Linked DNA regions of Struthio camelus. The protein of the gene in region 2 interacts with the protein of the main gene of each other region in a biochemical or structural test. Links are inferred from orthologs where the notes say so. Each region holds a gene or a part of one and is shown on either strand. Other genes may lie near its edges.

Region 1 (7,492 bases), on a different chromosome or scaffold from region 2:
GTGACTCATAAAGAGAAACTCTGGTCCTGCTTCCAACTGCTGCTGACATTTCTTGGCATTTGCGGGCAGCCAGGGCAACAGAAAGGGCCAAGCCTTTAGGAACAACACAAACGCTGAGCACAATACCACCTGCCCTGCACCGCCGCTTCGTGGGGTCGGACTAACTCCTTGAGAGCTACGCAGCTTCGTCCTGCACGACCATACCTCTGCCTCTGACCTTCATTTCAGTTCGCTACCTCCCACCTCTGGGAGCTTGTCCTCACAGCGAGTGAACGGGGAAACCATCCAGGGGTGAAGAATGACACGCTCAAACACTTCTGCAGTTCTGTTTCTCCACTACTGTTGTTCAAATCACAGCAGCAATTAATACGTTGTTCAAATATGTTTCTCCACTTACAAATAAAAGTCATACTTTGCTCCTCGTGACTGAGGGCAAATTAACCAAGCACTGATGTACAGAGAAAGAATGTTTGAGGGGATTTAGCCCCTCTCCAGTCACTGTCTCCAGGCTGTGAAATGCACGCTCCTGGTTATATGGCCACATACGTACGGCTATACTGGTATAGTGCTACCTCCTTCCCAGATAAGGGCTATGCCACTCCAATTACATTAATCCCCCTTTCCAGTGGGATTTAAATAAGAACTACTCTGCAAACACCTAGAGGGAGTCTACTACACACCCCTACAGTGGTGTACCAGCAGGTCAGCAGATATGGGACAAAAATACCTTGTTATCATTGGGAAAAAAGTTCTCGTGGTGGATGGGAACATAGACACGAGAAGGCTGTTTAAGATCAGAAAACTCAGGGAATGAGGGTTGCTGAGGGGTTCAGCCAAGCTTAAGCAACTTGACAAATGAGGAATGTAAAAGGGGTTAATTAAAGACTATAGTTCACTTTGACAAAATTTTCACTTATTATATTTACAAGTAACATCTCAAGGGACTATAGCTAAAATAAACACATTGGAGAAGAAGTATGGAAGCTCCTCCTCCTGCCATTCACATGGTTTTCAAATTAGGCACGCTGATTACTTACACATAAATAAAACACAAAAATAAACTTAATTGACTGTATTCAGAATAGTTTAACTCTTTTTGTAAGAGTTTTGCAGTTAGAAATGTGCCTCTTTGAAAGACCCAAAACAAACTGAAAACTTTAATTTTGGGTTTAATTTTTGCTTAACCACAGTGTCTGTTTTATTGCACTAAGTTGCTCAGCAGATGTAAAAAAAAACATTTTGGCATAGTTTTACTGCTTATTTAGCACAATATTTTGTAATTATATATTCACACACCGGATGAGGACGTCAGCAGTGAGACTAAAAGTTTGCAGACAGTGACTTTGGTTAGTCAAATCCAAAGAAGTCTGTGAAGAACTTCAAAGAGATTTAATCAACCTACGTGAAAGAATAATATGATTGCATTAATCAAGAGTGAACTTTATGTGCTAAGTAATGCGCATAGAAAAGGAAAAACATAAGTTCTGTATCTCACAGAGCTCTTAATTACAGCAACTTGGGAAAGACCTAGAAACATTATGGGTGGTTCTGCGAAAGCCTCTGATCAATATGCAGCTGTAATGAACAAAGGGTGTGTTGAAATTTCAATGCCATTAGGTGAATCAGTGGTACGCTCACATTACCGACTGGATCTATCCACCTCAGAAAAGACACTATAATTAAGAGAGAGCTGAGAAGACAAGGAAGTTGATCAAAGGCATGGAAACATCTCTTATACGACCAAACGGGAAAAAAATTTAAATAGGTTATTTGGGGAACGCTAAATAACAAGAGGAGGCAAGACGCGTCCTGACACAACAATGAAACACCGATCATATTCGGAATTAATTAAGAAACACACACACACACACACAATTAAGCTGCAGAATGGCTATTCCTGTCAGAGCTCAGGTATTTACTGGATTTCAGCAGGAAGGCCGGCACCGACCTGGGTAACAAGCGCCCGGACCGGCGAGGCAGCGGCGCTCCGGGGCGGTCTGAGCCCTCCCAGCGCTCGGCGGCGGCTCGGAGGCTGCTGCGAGGCACCGAGGCCCCAGCGACAGCGCCCGGCGCCGCCGGCTCTCCACGCCGCAGGGCGGCGGAGCGGCTTCGCGCAGCGAGCTCCGGGCTCGGCGGGGGAACACGCGGAAAAACAAAACAAAACAGGCTGCTTTGCGCCTTCCCTGACCAGCGTCCGGCCGCGCTAGTTCGCCTTCGAGCACCAACTGTCACTTTCAACCTTGGGGCGGGGGGGGGGGTCTTTTTTCCGGCACTGATGATTGCAGAAAGCGTCGCCTCCGCCGCCCCGAGCTGACCACCTGCCCCTCGGTCCGGGCCGCGGCCTCCCGGCGCCTCCCCGGCTCGCGAGGGGCGCCAACGGCTGCGGGGGGAGGGCGCAACGGCTCGCGAGGGGCGCCAACGGCTCGGGGGAGGGAGGGAGGAGGGGGCACAACGGTTCGTGAGGGGCGCCAACGGCTCGGGGCAGGGAGGGGCGCCAACGGCTCGCGGGGGGCGCCAACGGCTCGCCAGGAGGGAGGGGCGCAACGGTTCGCGGGGGGCGCCAACGGCTGCAACGCCGGCATCCTGAGGGGCCCCAGCCGGGTCCCGCGGCGGCGGGGACGGCCCGGCCCGGCCGGGGCTGCCGCCTCGGCTGGCCGCGCAGCCGGACGTCGCCACCCCGAGCGGCCCGCCACGGCCGCCTACCTGAGCTCCAGCTGGTCCAGGTTCTCGAGCAGGCGGCTGGAGCGGTCCGCCATGGAGGTGGAGCGGTAGAAGCGGCCGCGGAGCTGCCCGCCGGATTGCTGCTGCTGCGCCCCCTCGCTGGCTTTGGCGCTGATCTTGGCCTGGGCCATAGCACTCGCCGGCGGCTCCTCCGCGCGGCCGCTCCCTCCCCGCGTCCCGCAGGCGGCGGCGGCCGAATGCCGGCACCTCGCTCATGGCCAAAGAAGGAGCCCGCCCGCCGCCTGCCCCCGCGGCCACCCCGCCTCCGCGGCCGCAGAGGCGCCGCCTCACGCAGCGCGCCGCGGACCTCGCCTCACCTCGGCGGCCCCGCAGCGCCGCGGGCGGGCGCCCGCCCTCCCCGCCTCCCGGGCCCGCCCTGGCCCCCCGCAGGAGCCGGGCCGAGGGGAGGGGGCGTCTCGTCCCGGGAACCCCGGGGCGAGGAGCGTGTCGCACCCCTGGCCGGGTCCTGTTCCGTACATCGCGCATTCAGCAGAAACGCGGAGGCTATCGCATGCTGTAATTTATTGATGAATCAAGGAGCTACAGCTAAGTCACGAGTTTTAATTAAATCCGCAGAGAGAAAAGAGTTTTCCCTCCCGAAACCTAAACGCTGTCCTGCATGCCGTGCTGCACCGGTGTCTGAAAGCGTTGCCCAGTCACCACCTACGCTAGCACAGGGCAGTGCTGCCGAAGCCCTGCTTTTCCCCGACAGTTTTCCGCGGACTGGGGAGCCACTGCGGCCCCCCGACACAGCCCCGCCTTCCTTGGCTCTCGCTAAAGCAGAGCCCAAGGAAGGGTAAGGTTTTTAACACCTATATTAACCTGATCCTAGATGGTAGCCTAGATACCTAGATGGTATGAGGGTTTACTTTCCAAGACTATTGTATATGGTTGATCGGTTTGGTCTTTCTCTAATTAAATATATATATGTATATCAATCAAAAGAGACAGCTGGAAATACAAAGATGAAACTCCTGAAGGCGTAAAGAAGAAATGAGAAGAGGAAGGCTAGAAGTGCCTTGAAAATCCAGAAGCCTGTTTAAGGAGAAAAAAAGTGTTGATGAGAGTAAAGCACCCACAGCACTTGCTACAAGCAGAAACAGAACCTGAACAGCAGTCTTGAAAAAGATACTTAAGATACTTGCATCGATACAGTACATCTTTCTGACACTAAGTCATCTGGTTAGCCACAGAAGAGAAAACAGTTCTACTAAACGTTTTTGTCCAAGGTAATACAAAAAGGCTTACTAGAAAGAAAATTGTTTGTTTGTTTGTTTGTTTTTTGCTGTGCCAAAAGAAAAAAAAAACTTATTTTGTGATGGCAAAGGTAGTGGATCTACATTTTGTAATGACTTTTTCCACATCATATTTAACTTCTCTGTATAAACCAGATAACTTCTGTCTCACAAGAGCACATCATACTAACTTAGGAAACTTAAGCCACAGAAAGAAATCTTTTATACTTCTTGAACCTGTACTTCTGTACAGCAGATTCCTGTTGGCTCCAGCAATTCTTACTTGCCATTACTGTGATTATTTAAAAAGGAATTTGCTTATCCCTAATTTCACGTTTGGGCAAATACTGCAGTTCTCTAACAGACCAATTTTTGGCATCCAGTTAACAGGGTTTTTATTGCACAGGGATAACGTTTTGAATGCTTACTCTGGTTATAGCTATTTTCTCAGGCTTGTCCGTTCAAGATGATATCATGTCCCACTTCTCTTGCTAAATTAATTGTCTGAATTTTGTTTTTTTTTTACATGGCTGGGTAGGTAAGGATTATGGCTGTGAGCTCATAGAAATAATTTCATTGTTCAGCGATTGTTCAATCCATCTCACTATAGTTTATTCAGAAAATTATTAAAAACTACTTCCTACCCCCAAACATATACAAACAGAAACATGGGGACTAATGTGACACAAATTGCAAACTTTTTTCCTAGGATCCTTCTATTCCTCCCATGCTAATTTATGAAGTATTAATTAGGTCGTGTTTAAAAAGCAAAAACCAAAATTGCTACTAGCCAAATGGTTAGAAAGATTTTTTTTCCTTGTACAGGGTTTTAAATTTTTGAAGGTAGAATGTGCAATGAAATGAAGAGGCACAACGGTTGTTAGTTGTGTGCAGTTGTATCACACATGACTGTGTCTTTTTTGATGGCAAAACAGCATTTCATCCAGGAACTGAGAAGAGCTGAAACAGTGGAAGCAAAATGAGTTTCAAAAGCAGAAATAGTTGTTTGAAACAAACCTCACCCATCATTGCTGCCTGTGCAGTCGAGAATAAATTGCCATTTAAAAACTAGAAAGGATTGCAAAAACTGCTTTTCCTACCCAAGAGGGGGGTAGATTGCCCCTATTTTCCCTCAGGTGCTTTCTTCCTTGCCGAGATACATAAAGGAGCAGTTGTCACCACTTTTCCCGAAATAATAGGTGGCTGGGCTAGCAAGATGGTAGTCAAGTCTCTGGAGAAAGGAAGTGACTCACAGTTGAATTAGGACAAGAAGTTAGGGGACACAAAAGGCAAGAATTAGGTCCTTCAGGGCTGCAAGAAAACGGGAGGAGGAAGAGTAGCTCTGTCAGAAACAGCACGGATCTCATCCTCCTCCTTATGATTTGTGGCAAAGAAAGGTGATGTCTGGGTCAGGATTGCTGCTGCTGCGACAACCTCACTCTCCTAGTCTAGTCTGCAGCTATGTTCACCCGGCTGGATTGCACAGCCCTGCTCCAGCTGCAGGCACCCATGGGGAGATTGACATGGAGAAAGTATGCATCTCAGGCCTTCTGTACTGCAGGCTCAGCGACCAAGTAGCTGGCTGTCCCTCATTTAAATGGCGGTATCATAAAAGATGCACGCACCTTGCAGAACAGAGCGACTGGCAGAGAATCCGCATTCATGCGCACAAGATCTTTTATGGTAGCAAAAAGATATACCTTCCCAGGCCGTGGACACCTAAGACATTTGTAAAAGTCAGATGATCTACACCAAAAGCAGTACTACTTGTCACACTGCTAAATACCATCTTAGTTTCAGTTTCACCTTATTCCAAACCCCCCATACCTTGTGACATACCCTAACACTTACCTATGAGCTGCCATGGAATAGGATGTAAGAGAAAGTCCACACCCAAGAAACGCCATGTTGGATTCTTTTCTTCCCTTCTACAGGAACTTCATCTGGAGAATCTTCTTTGTACATAGGCATTGTGGAAACACAACTTCTGTACATACCATGAGGATGCAGCTGTGGTTTGGGCAGCCAACCACAGCTAGCATTCAGTCTCCCAAGCACAGTACAACAGCAGCAAAGACGGGCCAACATGAGTTTTAGGGTATGATTTTCTATCAAAAGCTGTACTTAGTATTATAGTAGACTGGCCCCTTAGCACCTGCCAAACTTGTGCTACTGTGTTGTTTCTGCTATTGTTACTAACGCTAATTAACACTAGCACTGTGTTTGCCCATCACGTTACCATCATCTTACTGTGCAGGCAAGCCCTGCACTCCCAAGGCTGTTGGAAGCCTCATTCCTCTATCTCAGAATCAATCTAAAAGCCAGTACGACCATTTCAGGGCATGGAGTAGTTCTTTTCCTCATGGAGAGGAAAATTGCTTAGCAAATGACCCAGTGAATTCTTTACAGCTGTGGATGCTAGGCAGCTTTTAGATAAGAGCTCTCAGCAAAAACCACTAGAAGACTCCCAGAAAGTAGTATATTGGAGTCAGTGAAAAGAAACTTGCACAGATTTACAAGGGGAACTTTACATTTAAATTTCTGCACACACAGAACTTTGTCATTTGGGCACAAACTTTGCACATACTTGCCACTTACTATGAATTTTCTGGCTTGTTTACACCCATGTTTACAGTATGTTGAATCATATTATTTGACCCACAATGTTAAAACTGAGCTCTAATTCTTGAATTAAAATTTCTGCAGAAAACTTGGGGGCAGTTTAGAATTGTCAAAGAAACACGCAAACGCAGATTTTAATAGTCTGCATTTAAGTCTTGCTACTTAACTGGAAAGAATTGCCAGAAAGGATTTTGCATTAATGTCAGCCAATTTTTCTAAATTATTGTAAAGACAATTCATCATCCATCCTTCTCACCTCCTTCCAACTTTCAGCAGTCATTGTAAACATTGTTAGGACAGCATAAGCACATGATAGAACACTTTCCTTTTAAGAAAGAATATGGCGTGACTTCATACCTCTATAAACTTAACCATATTTGGTAAAGATTCAGTAAAGGTTTGCATGTTACATAATATTTAGCAGATTGACCTACCACGGAGGTGTCTTAAGACTTAAATGATGTGACCACTATAGGTCCACTAGTAGTCATTTCTGTACATCTTGATGAGCTAAGAAAATTATTCCATCACCCAAATATATATCACTATGATGCAAGACAAGTAGTTCACAGTAAACCAATCTCATCCCTTTAAATTATTACATGTTTAGAAATTATTTTTAAACTCTACAAAAGCAACCAGGCAAGGATGAAGTTTTAGTGCTACAGTGACTTCTGCAACTGTTACACTGATTTGTTCAGCATCTCCTCTTTGAATACGATCAACAGAGAGATTCTGTTGGATCTAAAACAATACGGCACACAGAACTAAGCGACAAAGAGATAGGAACCTTGTACCGATCTGACTCATCATCATTTAACTTTTTTACAAGACTTCTGCATGCACTGTACAGAAAATTAGAACATTAAAATGAAAGAAAGTGGGTTGGTGGTGGTCAGGTAGAGTTAGAAAGC
Region 2 (7,603 bases):
GGATCAAAGAGCAAGGAGAATATAAAAATACACCCATCCATCACCACTCTCCAGGCAGCCTCCTGCTCTCCCCCCATTAAATAGGGTTTTAACAACGAGCTGACAACGTTACCAAATCACCCAACCCTCTATCAGTAGTTTCTAGGCGAACATCTGCGCTTTGGGTGCAGGTATGGTAAAATTCAGTTTCTGATGACCCTTGCGTTGTGGTGGCCAGCAGCGAGAACCAAACCGCCCCACGCACGCCCCTGCCTCCTGCATGTGGAGGAAGCCACCGGCTGCAGTTTGTGGTTCTTTCGTGCTTTTCAAAGGCAGGAAAAAAAGGTGAGTGCTTTTCAAAGGTGGGTGCTGCAAATAACACAGGTTGAGCTGCCCGGATCAGACTCCACACAAGCCTTTCGCACGCACCCCACAGCCAAACGCCTCCTCCTCGGTGGGCCGGATGGCCGCAGCTCCCGCTGCACGCCAGCAACAGAGCATCCCTCTCTCTGTCCCCGTCACGGAAAATGGCGGCAGTGGCTCATCTCTCAGGACAGCCCTGGCGTGATGGACAGCGTGGAGGTGCCACGGAGGTCTCACGGGAGGCTGTAACCCTTTCGAGCACAGATAAGACTGCTACTGTGCTGTTTGTGCCGCCCAAAAGCTGCCCCGGCCGTTTATCCTGACAACGGAGGGGACATGATGTTTCCAGCGCTGGCAGCTGCCCTCTCTGCACCCTCACTGTAAATGCGCTGAGCAAGTACCGTAAAAAAGAATATGTCCCCATGCAAAGGCCAACAGAATAGCTCTTTTGGCAGATGCTGGGTTTTGCGTGGCCTTCCCTCGCGGTACAGCTAGGGCACGCTGTGCACACCTGCAGCGATCGTGGGAGAAATACCGGACTGGGGTCAGTATGCACCACGGAGGTTTGAAAACACTCCCAATTTCAGGATTTCTACCCAGCTTCATACGTAGTGAAAGCAAAAAACTTTCAGGAAAGATAATGGGAGTGACGTTGGTAACGGGTACAAACTGAACCACAGGCAGCTCCGTCTGAACATGAGGAAAAACTTCTTCACTGTGAGGGTGACTGAGCACTGGAACAGGTTGCCCAGAGACAACCTGTCCCGAGTTGGACTAGATGATCTCCAGAGGTCCCTTCCAACCCCAACCGTGCTGTGAATCTGTGATAACCAGTCCCCTTTCACTGTGACTAGCACACCAAACGCCTGAACCATAAAGGTATTATTGCCACAAAGCACCCCTGCAAGGAGTACTGCCTGTGCATCTCTGTATTTCACTACCTTTGTTTAGATAATAAAAACCATCCCTGAAGTGCTTTTACCCAAAGTTACCAACAATATGAGCTCAGCTGTAACACCTGCAAAAAACATTTAAATTTGATTTAGGGACGGAGAACTCCTGAAAAAACAGCGTACTACTTGGGATCCTACAGGCTGGGCAGCCCATTTGGAAGGAGCGGGACGGAGAAGGAATACATCCCAACGCTGATTTACATCCCATTTCACACAGCCCCAATTTCTCTCCTGAGGCGCTATTATTGCTGGCTTTTAGCTAACGTCTAGAGAAGTTAATGTCTGCTTTTCTAAGGAAGATATTTTCCACGGGTAGCATCGTTCATTGTGGAGCACTTCCCAGAGCTCAGTTAAGGCTCCTGTTACTCCTTGGCTCGTCACCCCCAGCTGCAGATCGTCCGGGTGAGGAGGGCTGGCAGCCCAGGCCCCGGTGGGACGCGTGCACACCCTGGGCGGCTCTGCAGGTAAGGTGGTCCCGAATGCAAACAGAAAAAGGACAGCTGGACCCAAGCTGCTCTCCGAGCGTCCCCGCCGCGCGCTCCCCAGCATATCCGACCGTGTCTGTACCATCTCGAGATCCTCCTCTCAGCTCCTCCAGCCAAGCCAGGCTTGCTGCACGCGCATCGAAGCGCGGTCAGGCACCCAGACACGCCACAGCTTACCCGAGGTCACCTCCCAATCGGGGGAAACCCTCCAGAAACAAGTCCTTTACTCAAACCACCTACTCTTTCTCGAGAGGTCCACTTAGCCTTAGGAGCTGCGTTAAGACGCGCGGGGCAACGCCGCGCGCCGGAGCAGGCGGCCGAGGCCGTCGCCGACGGCCCGCGGGCTCGTTCCTGCGCCGTCGAGAGAGAGGCGCGGGGCCGAAGCCGCGCCTGGAGGCTGAAGCGCTCCGTTTGACGGCGGCGTAACCCACCGCCTCGCGCGGGGACCTCCCTGCTAGGGGCAGCTAGGCGAACCTCCGAGCCGCGCCGCGGCCTTCGGCAGCTCCGCGCGGAAGAAGAACCGCCGCTCCCTCCTCCACAGGGCGGACGGCGAAGGAGGCATACAGCATCCTTGCCCTCGGGAGGGCGGGAAACGGCTGCAGAAAGCTCCCAAACCGGACCCGGCCTGCCAAGCTCCCTTCCCGCTCGTCCTCCGGCGTGAGGCCCCCGCGCCCGTCTGGCGACGAGGCGAAAGAAAACCCCAACGCGGGGTTTTCTCGCTGCCGAGCACCTGGCGAAGGGCGTGAGGGAGCCGGGGCGGCCTCGAGCTGCGGAGGAGGAGGAGGAGGGAGGGCGCGGAGCCGGGTGGCTCGGCGGGCAGCGGCGGCAGGAAGGCGGCAACGGGCTGCGCGTTACACGCCGCCGCCGCCACCGCCGCTCGGCGCCCGGACATAAAAGGAAGTTTTTCCTTACGGCTCCTCGCAAGTATTTCCTTTCCCCCCATCGCCGGCTCCCAAGCACGCCCGCTTCCCCCCAAGTTCCGTCTAAACTCTTTGCTTTTTTTCCTTTTTTTTAAACCCTTTTGGTGCCCCCCCCCCCGCCCTTCGCAGCCCGCCCGGCGCACCCCGCGCCCCCTCAGCGCAGCCCCGGCGCGGGGCAGGTGCCGCCCGCGCTACCTCCTGCCTGCGGGGTCCCTGCGCCGCCGTCACCGCCTCCTCCTCCTCCTCCTCCTCCGGCGCCGGCCGCCCGCCTCGTCGCTCTGCGGCGCGGGAGGCGGAGGGAGGAAGGAAAAGGGAGCGGGGGCAGAAGCGCGGCGGCGCCTCCTCCGCCACCGGGCCCGCCGGCGCGGGGTCAGGGCCCGCCCGCGGGCCCCACCACGGCCGCCGCCGCCGTCCCAGAGGCCTCCGCGCGGGCCCTGGCCGGGCTGCGGGGCTCCATCTTGTGCCGGCCCCGGCGGCGGCGGCGCGGTCGGCCGCTGCCTGCGGCTCCTCGGCGCGACGGGACGCGCTCACCCCGTCAGCGAGCTGCCCTCTTCGGGCGGCTGCTACGCGGGCTCACGCCATTGGGGTTCGGTTTTGTTGTGTTTTGTGTTGTTCCCCTCCTCCCCCCCCCCCGGAAAGGTCTGTCTGGAGTTGTCGGGGTCGGAAGCAGGACCGCGTCTCTCAGCCCCAGCAGGTCCCTCGGGTGGCGTCGCCGTCACCGCAGCCCCCCGTGTCGCGTCCCGCATGTTTCTCGGAGCTCTTGGCGCTGCCTTCGGCCCTCGCGCGGATCCCTTCTCTGGGTCTGCTTCTCCGCTGAGGCCCGGCCCTAGCGCCAGCGGAGTTAATCGCAGATTGTGTCTTTGCAAGCTGCTCCTCTCCCGGCTGGGGGAAGAAGCCTACCGCTTTTTGGAAAAACAAAGCAAGGTTGCCCCCTCTCTTCTGCAGGCGTTACGCTCTCGCTGCGCTCCCCATCGCATAGCCCTTCATCTCCTGCTACCAGGAAACTCTCCCAAGCCTGATGGGGCTTTTTCTTCCCCACCCACTGGACCAGCTACGAGAACACCGTTTTTGCGTGCCCTTTATTTTACTGTTCGTGACGACTCCTTACATTACCTACACAGCTTTTTTCTTCCTTGGCCCCACAGAAGAAAGGGATCTCCGATGATCGCTTGAGGATGGGAGTAGCCATATCCATCCTCTGACTAGTCTTGAGGTTTGTCCTAGGGTGTTCTCGTGCTGTGATTGTGGAGATAGACAGAGAGGATGGGTCCTCGTCGATGCTTTCACTTGGGTTCGAGTGCCCGTGAACCCCGCTTCTAGCTGCAGCCCTAGCAGTGTTACCCATCTGGCGCCCTTCTGTCCGGGCTGCTGTCTTTTACGCCTCACAGCCTGGCTCTTATCCAGACCTTTCTTGCAGCCTTTTCCACCCAATTGTTTGAAAAACCACTAACATCACTTAGTTTTGCCTTTATTTTGATAAACACTGTCATTTCCCCGAACGAGAATTTCTCCAGACAGTCAGGCTAAAAAAACTTGGTTTTTTTTTTTCCTTTCTAAATTTCATCCCAGGCTCCCTGGCTTATGCCTCCATCGATTATGTCACTCACAATCATTTCTTTGCATCTCCAGCCTTCACCTTTTCCATGTTTAGTGTCACAGCTTCTGAGCGATGCCGTTTGCAAGTGCAGGAAAAACTCAAGGGGGTTGGCTTGGCCTAGGTAGGGAGCTGACAGCGGTTGGTATTTTTCTCACACGCGTGTTACCAGATGCGAGCAGTGAATGCCGGACGAAAGGCAACGATATCAGTGCGTTCTCGCTTGCCGTCCGCGTGGCAGATGAGGGAAATTGGATAGGAACGGGACAGGGTGGAGCAGAGTCATGAGAGTGAGGGATGCGTCTCACAGGGTTTAGCAAGCCGGACCGAGGCAAGGAGCCTCATCTGGCAGGGTGGTCCCCAGCCCCTTGCCTTTCAGGCTCACCCCAAGAATGGGAGAAGGATCCCTCCTACTTCAAACTGGCAGAAGCTGTGCTTGCCCCTGCCAGCTGCAACCCTGCTCCCTCACCTCCCCCACCCCGTTTACTGGAAATGGCACAACTTAACAAAAGCAACTGCTTAGATAATAAGCTAACAAACACACGCTCTAGCTTTTGTTTGTAGAGCACTGACCACACTTCAGCCCTTTACTTCCCTTGCCTTTTTTAAAATAGGCTATTCTTCACAAAATGCAGAAGTGAATTCAAGTTCAGATTCCTTCTCAGTCCCCCAGTGAGATACTGAATCCCCACATCCACAGATGCACAAACACACTCTGCATTCAGTCCTGCGATGTGCGGAAGGTATCTTGAAGTTACATCGCCCCTTGTGAGCCCAGGGCACGTTCCTGTTTGGGGAATCCCGCTGGCTCACTGACTCGAGGGGAACAGACAGAGCGCTGTTCTGAGAAGAGCCCCCTGCAACTAGAGCAATACAGGGCCATTTTGTTTCAGAAGCATGAAACCTTAACCCTTTCCAGTGTTTGCTTTTAGTGTCGCAATGGGCCAAATTCAGAGATGAAATGAAAAACAGACAGGAGGACTGAGTCGAGTGGAAGGGGGGGGCGCTGATGGAAGGGGTCTTAACACTTGCGTTAGAGGGGCCAGAATTTTCTTAAGGCACTAATCAGCGTACATAAAAAAGGATTACAGTTACTTCTCTGTTAAAACGAGTAAAGTCAGTAGAAGTGTGTCCCTTTCAGTCATCCTTCCTAGGCAATACCAGAATACAGTATTTAGAAACTATACCACAAAGTTAAACATTTATTAGGAACAAGAGAACTATTACAAAAAGATACCCATATTCTAAATATATACATGAGGTTTAAACATAGCATTTCCATGTACCTTTAACTATAAAAATACATTAGATTAACTGTATCCTAATTTATAAATATAGTTCTTTTCTTTAAAAAGTAGTATTTCATATGAAAGCCTTACTGTGCAATGAAAGAATATATACCCTCTAAGGGGTTACTTTAAAGTTAGTGTCTAGTGTTATATAACTTAGATAATTCAGTGTGTAGAGTCAAACCCTGATTTATACAATAAGAGATACATTGACTTTTTTTTTAAACTTGATAGGGGAAAAAAAGAGGTGAAATATACATTATACATATAAAGGCAGACTACTAGGATTTTAAGAGTACCAGATGATTTCCATTTCAACCACTGTTTATCAAAAATGAATATAGAAGCTACATCAAAATAACCAGCCTTTTACTATTTGCCTCGCCTCCCTGTTGTCTGACTGCAGCCCTAGAAAACCATCAACTTGGCAAAAGTAAAATGTTTGTCTGAGAAGATGTTTGCACTCTAAGTGTATTACAAAAATAGAAGCTTATTTACAGTTTTCCCATTTGGCCTTTCATGGGGTAGGCAGGACATTTTCTTCACCAGATGGGGAGACTTACCTGTGGAAGCCCTGTCTCACATATCCACCGGAAGACAGGCACTCAGCTGTACACAATTGTTGGAGGTATGTCATTTGAGAAATTAAGCAGTGTTGAAGTGCAGTTTCAATGTTCACTAACTAATAAGGAAGTTTAGGCCCATGCAAACATTCTCCTTACTCATCACCACCCACCTTCCTTCCCCCTCCAAAAAAGGTCCACACATGCAACAGCACTTGTACTGACTGGGTACATCTCTGATCAGAGGAAATTACTGGTTAAATCCCTGCTTGCTTCAGGGACTACAGACTAGACCTGCATTTCTGCTTCAAGCCCTGACACCCGGAAAACTCCCAGCAATGATCTTTACCAGTGCTCCATAGCGATCTGTAGATAATTCACTAAGGAACATGCATCAGTTTGCTCTTAGAGGACGAACCCAAAGGGATCAGCCAAAGTTCCCACTCAGCTGACCCCACTACCTACCACGTACTTACAGCCCGCATCGACATGGAGCTTCCTGTAGGTTTGCCAGTGGTTCTTCAGTACAGTATCAGGGGTGAGGGAAGTAGCAAACCCAGGAACTGAAGACAGCATATGGCTTTTCCTTAAGCCCACAGTAAGTAACATCTGCAAAGAAGTTAACTGCAGGATATACTAAGGTATGAACTTAGTGTGACAGCCGCTCCATGGATGCTATTTGTGTGCATGCTTATACAACTGTAAACGAGGGAATGCAAGGTAGTTTATTCCTCAGTGAAGGACCAGTTACTCCGTTTGCCACAAGATGATAGGACTCACAGGGACAATTGCTGCAGAGCTGCTGACACATTTAAGTCTGGCCACATCTTATTCCACGGTAACTGGTTTGTACACCCACCTCTTTAGCATTCAGTATATGCTTAGGAGCACCTGCCTTTTCATACTGTGCTTCCAGAAATCTACTTTAAGCTACACTCGTAAGGGAGAAAGAAGCAGTGAGGATAACTTGTAAGTTTTACTCACATAATTAGCTCTGGCTCAAAAATGAGATGTCCACACAGTCTGAAAGTGACAGAGCAAGACACAGCAAGACAGCTTTTTGCAGCACTTTTGCTCCCTGCCCTCAGATCAGTAGGACGGGCTTGGGTCTGTGTGCCGTGGATGTTTTCCATGGGGTATCTACCATGCTACATGCTTAGCATTCAACTCTGTGTCATCACGGTAAGTACAGTGCAAAATCCTCTTGCAGAAAGTGCTATAGCGAAGCTTTGAGATACCGTTGTGACTCATTTGGAGCCAGAGGGGCTAGCAAGTCAGTAACTTGCATGTGCAGCACGTGTATGCATGTACAGCAAAACATCTAGTTCATAGGACACTTTAAAGTCTAGCTACATTGGGTGAAATACTGGCCCCAAAGGATTCATCTAAGAAACTTCCATAAACCTCATTCAGGGCTAGAATATCACCAATATGGGGGATGCAAGTATCTTTAGAGA

What was found.
Region 1: the proteins of LRRK1 (region 2) and BAG2 form a complex in vitro, tested with the Homo sapiens proteins (2 studies listed by BioGRID and IntAct, with this or other methods). The link is inferred for Struthio camelus from reciprocal best matches to the Homo sapiens genes LRRK1 and BAG2.

Annotation. Positions count from the first base shown.
Region 1 is NC_090944.1:36,126,650-36,134,141, reverse strand, and holds the start of BAG2 (BAG family molecular chaperone regulator 2), read right to left. Parts: upstream 3,069-7,492; 5' UTR 2,853-3,068; coding exon 2,704-2,852; intron 1-2,703. UniProt on the Homo sapiens protein: Co-chaperone for HSP70 and HSC70 chaperone proteins. Acts as a nucleotide-exchange factor (NEF) promoting the release of ADP from the HSP70 and HSC70 proteins thereby triggering client/substrate protein release.
Region 2 is NC_090953.1:4,465,955-4,473,557, forward strand, and holds the start of LRRK1 (leucine-rich repeat serine/threonine-protein kinase 1), read right to left. Parts: upstream 3,086-7,603; 5' UTR 2,896-3,085; intron 1-2,895.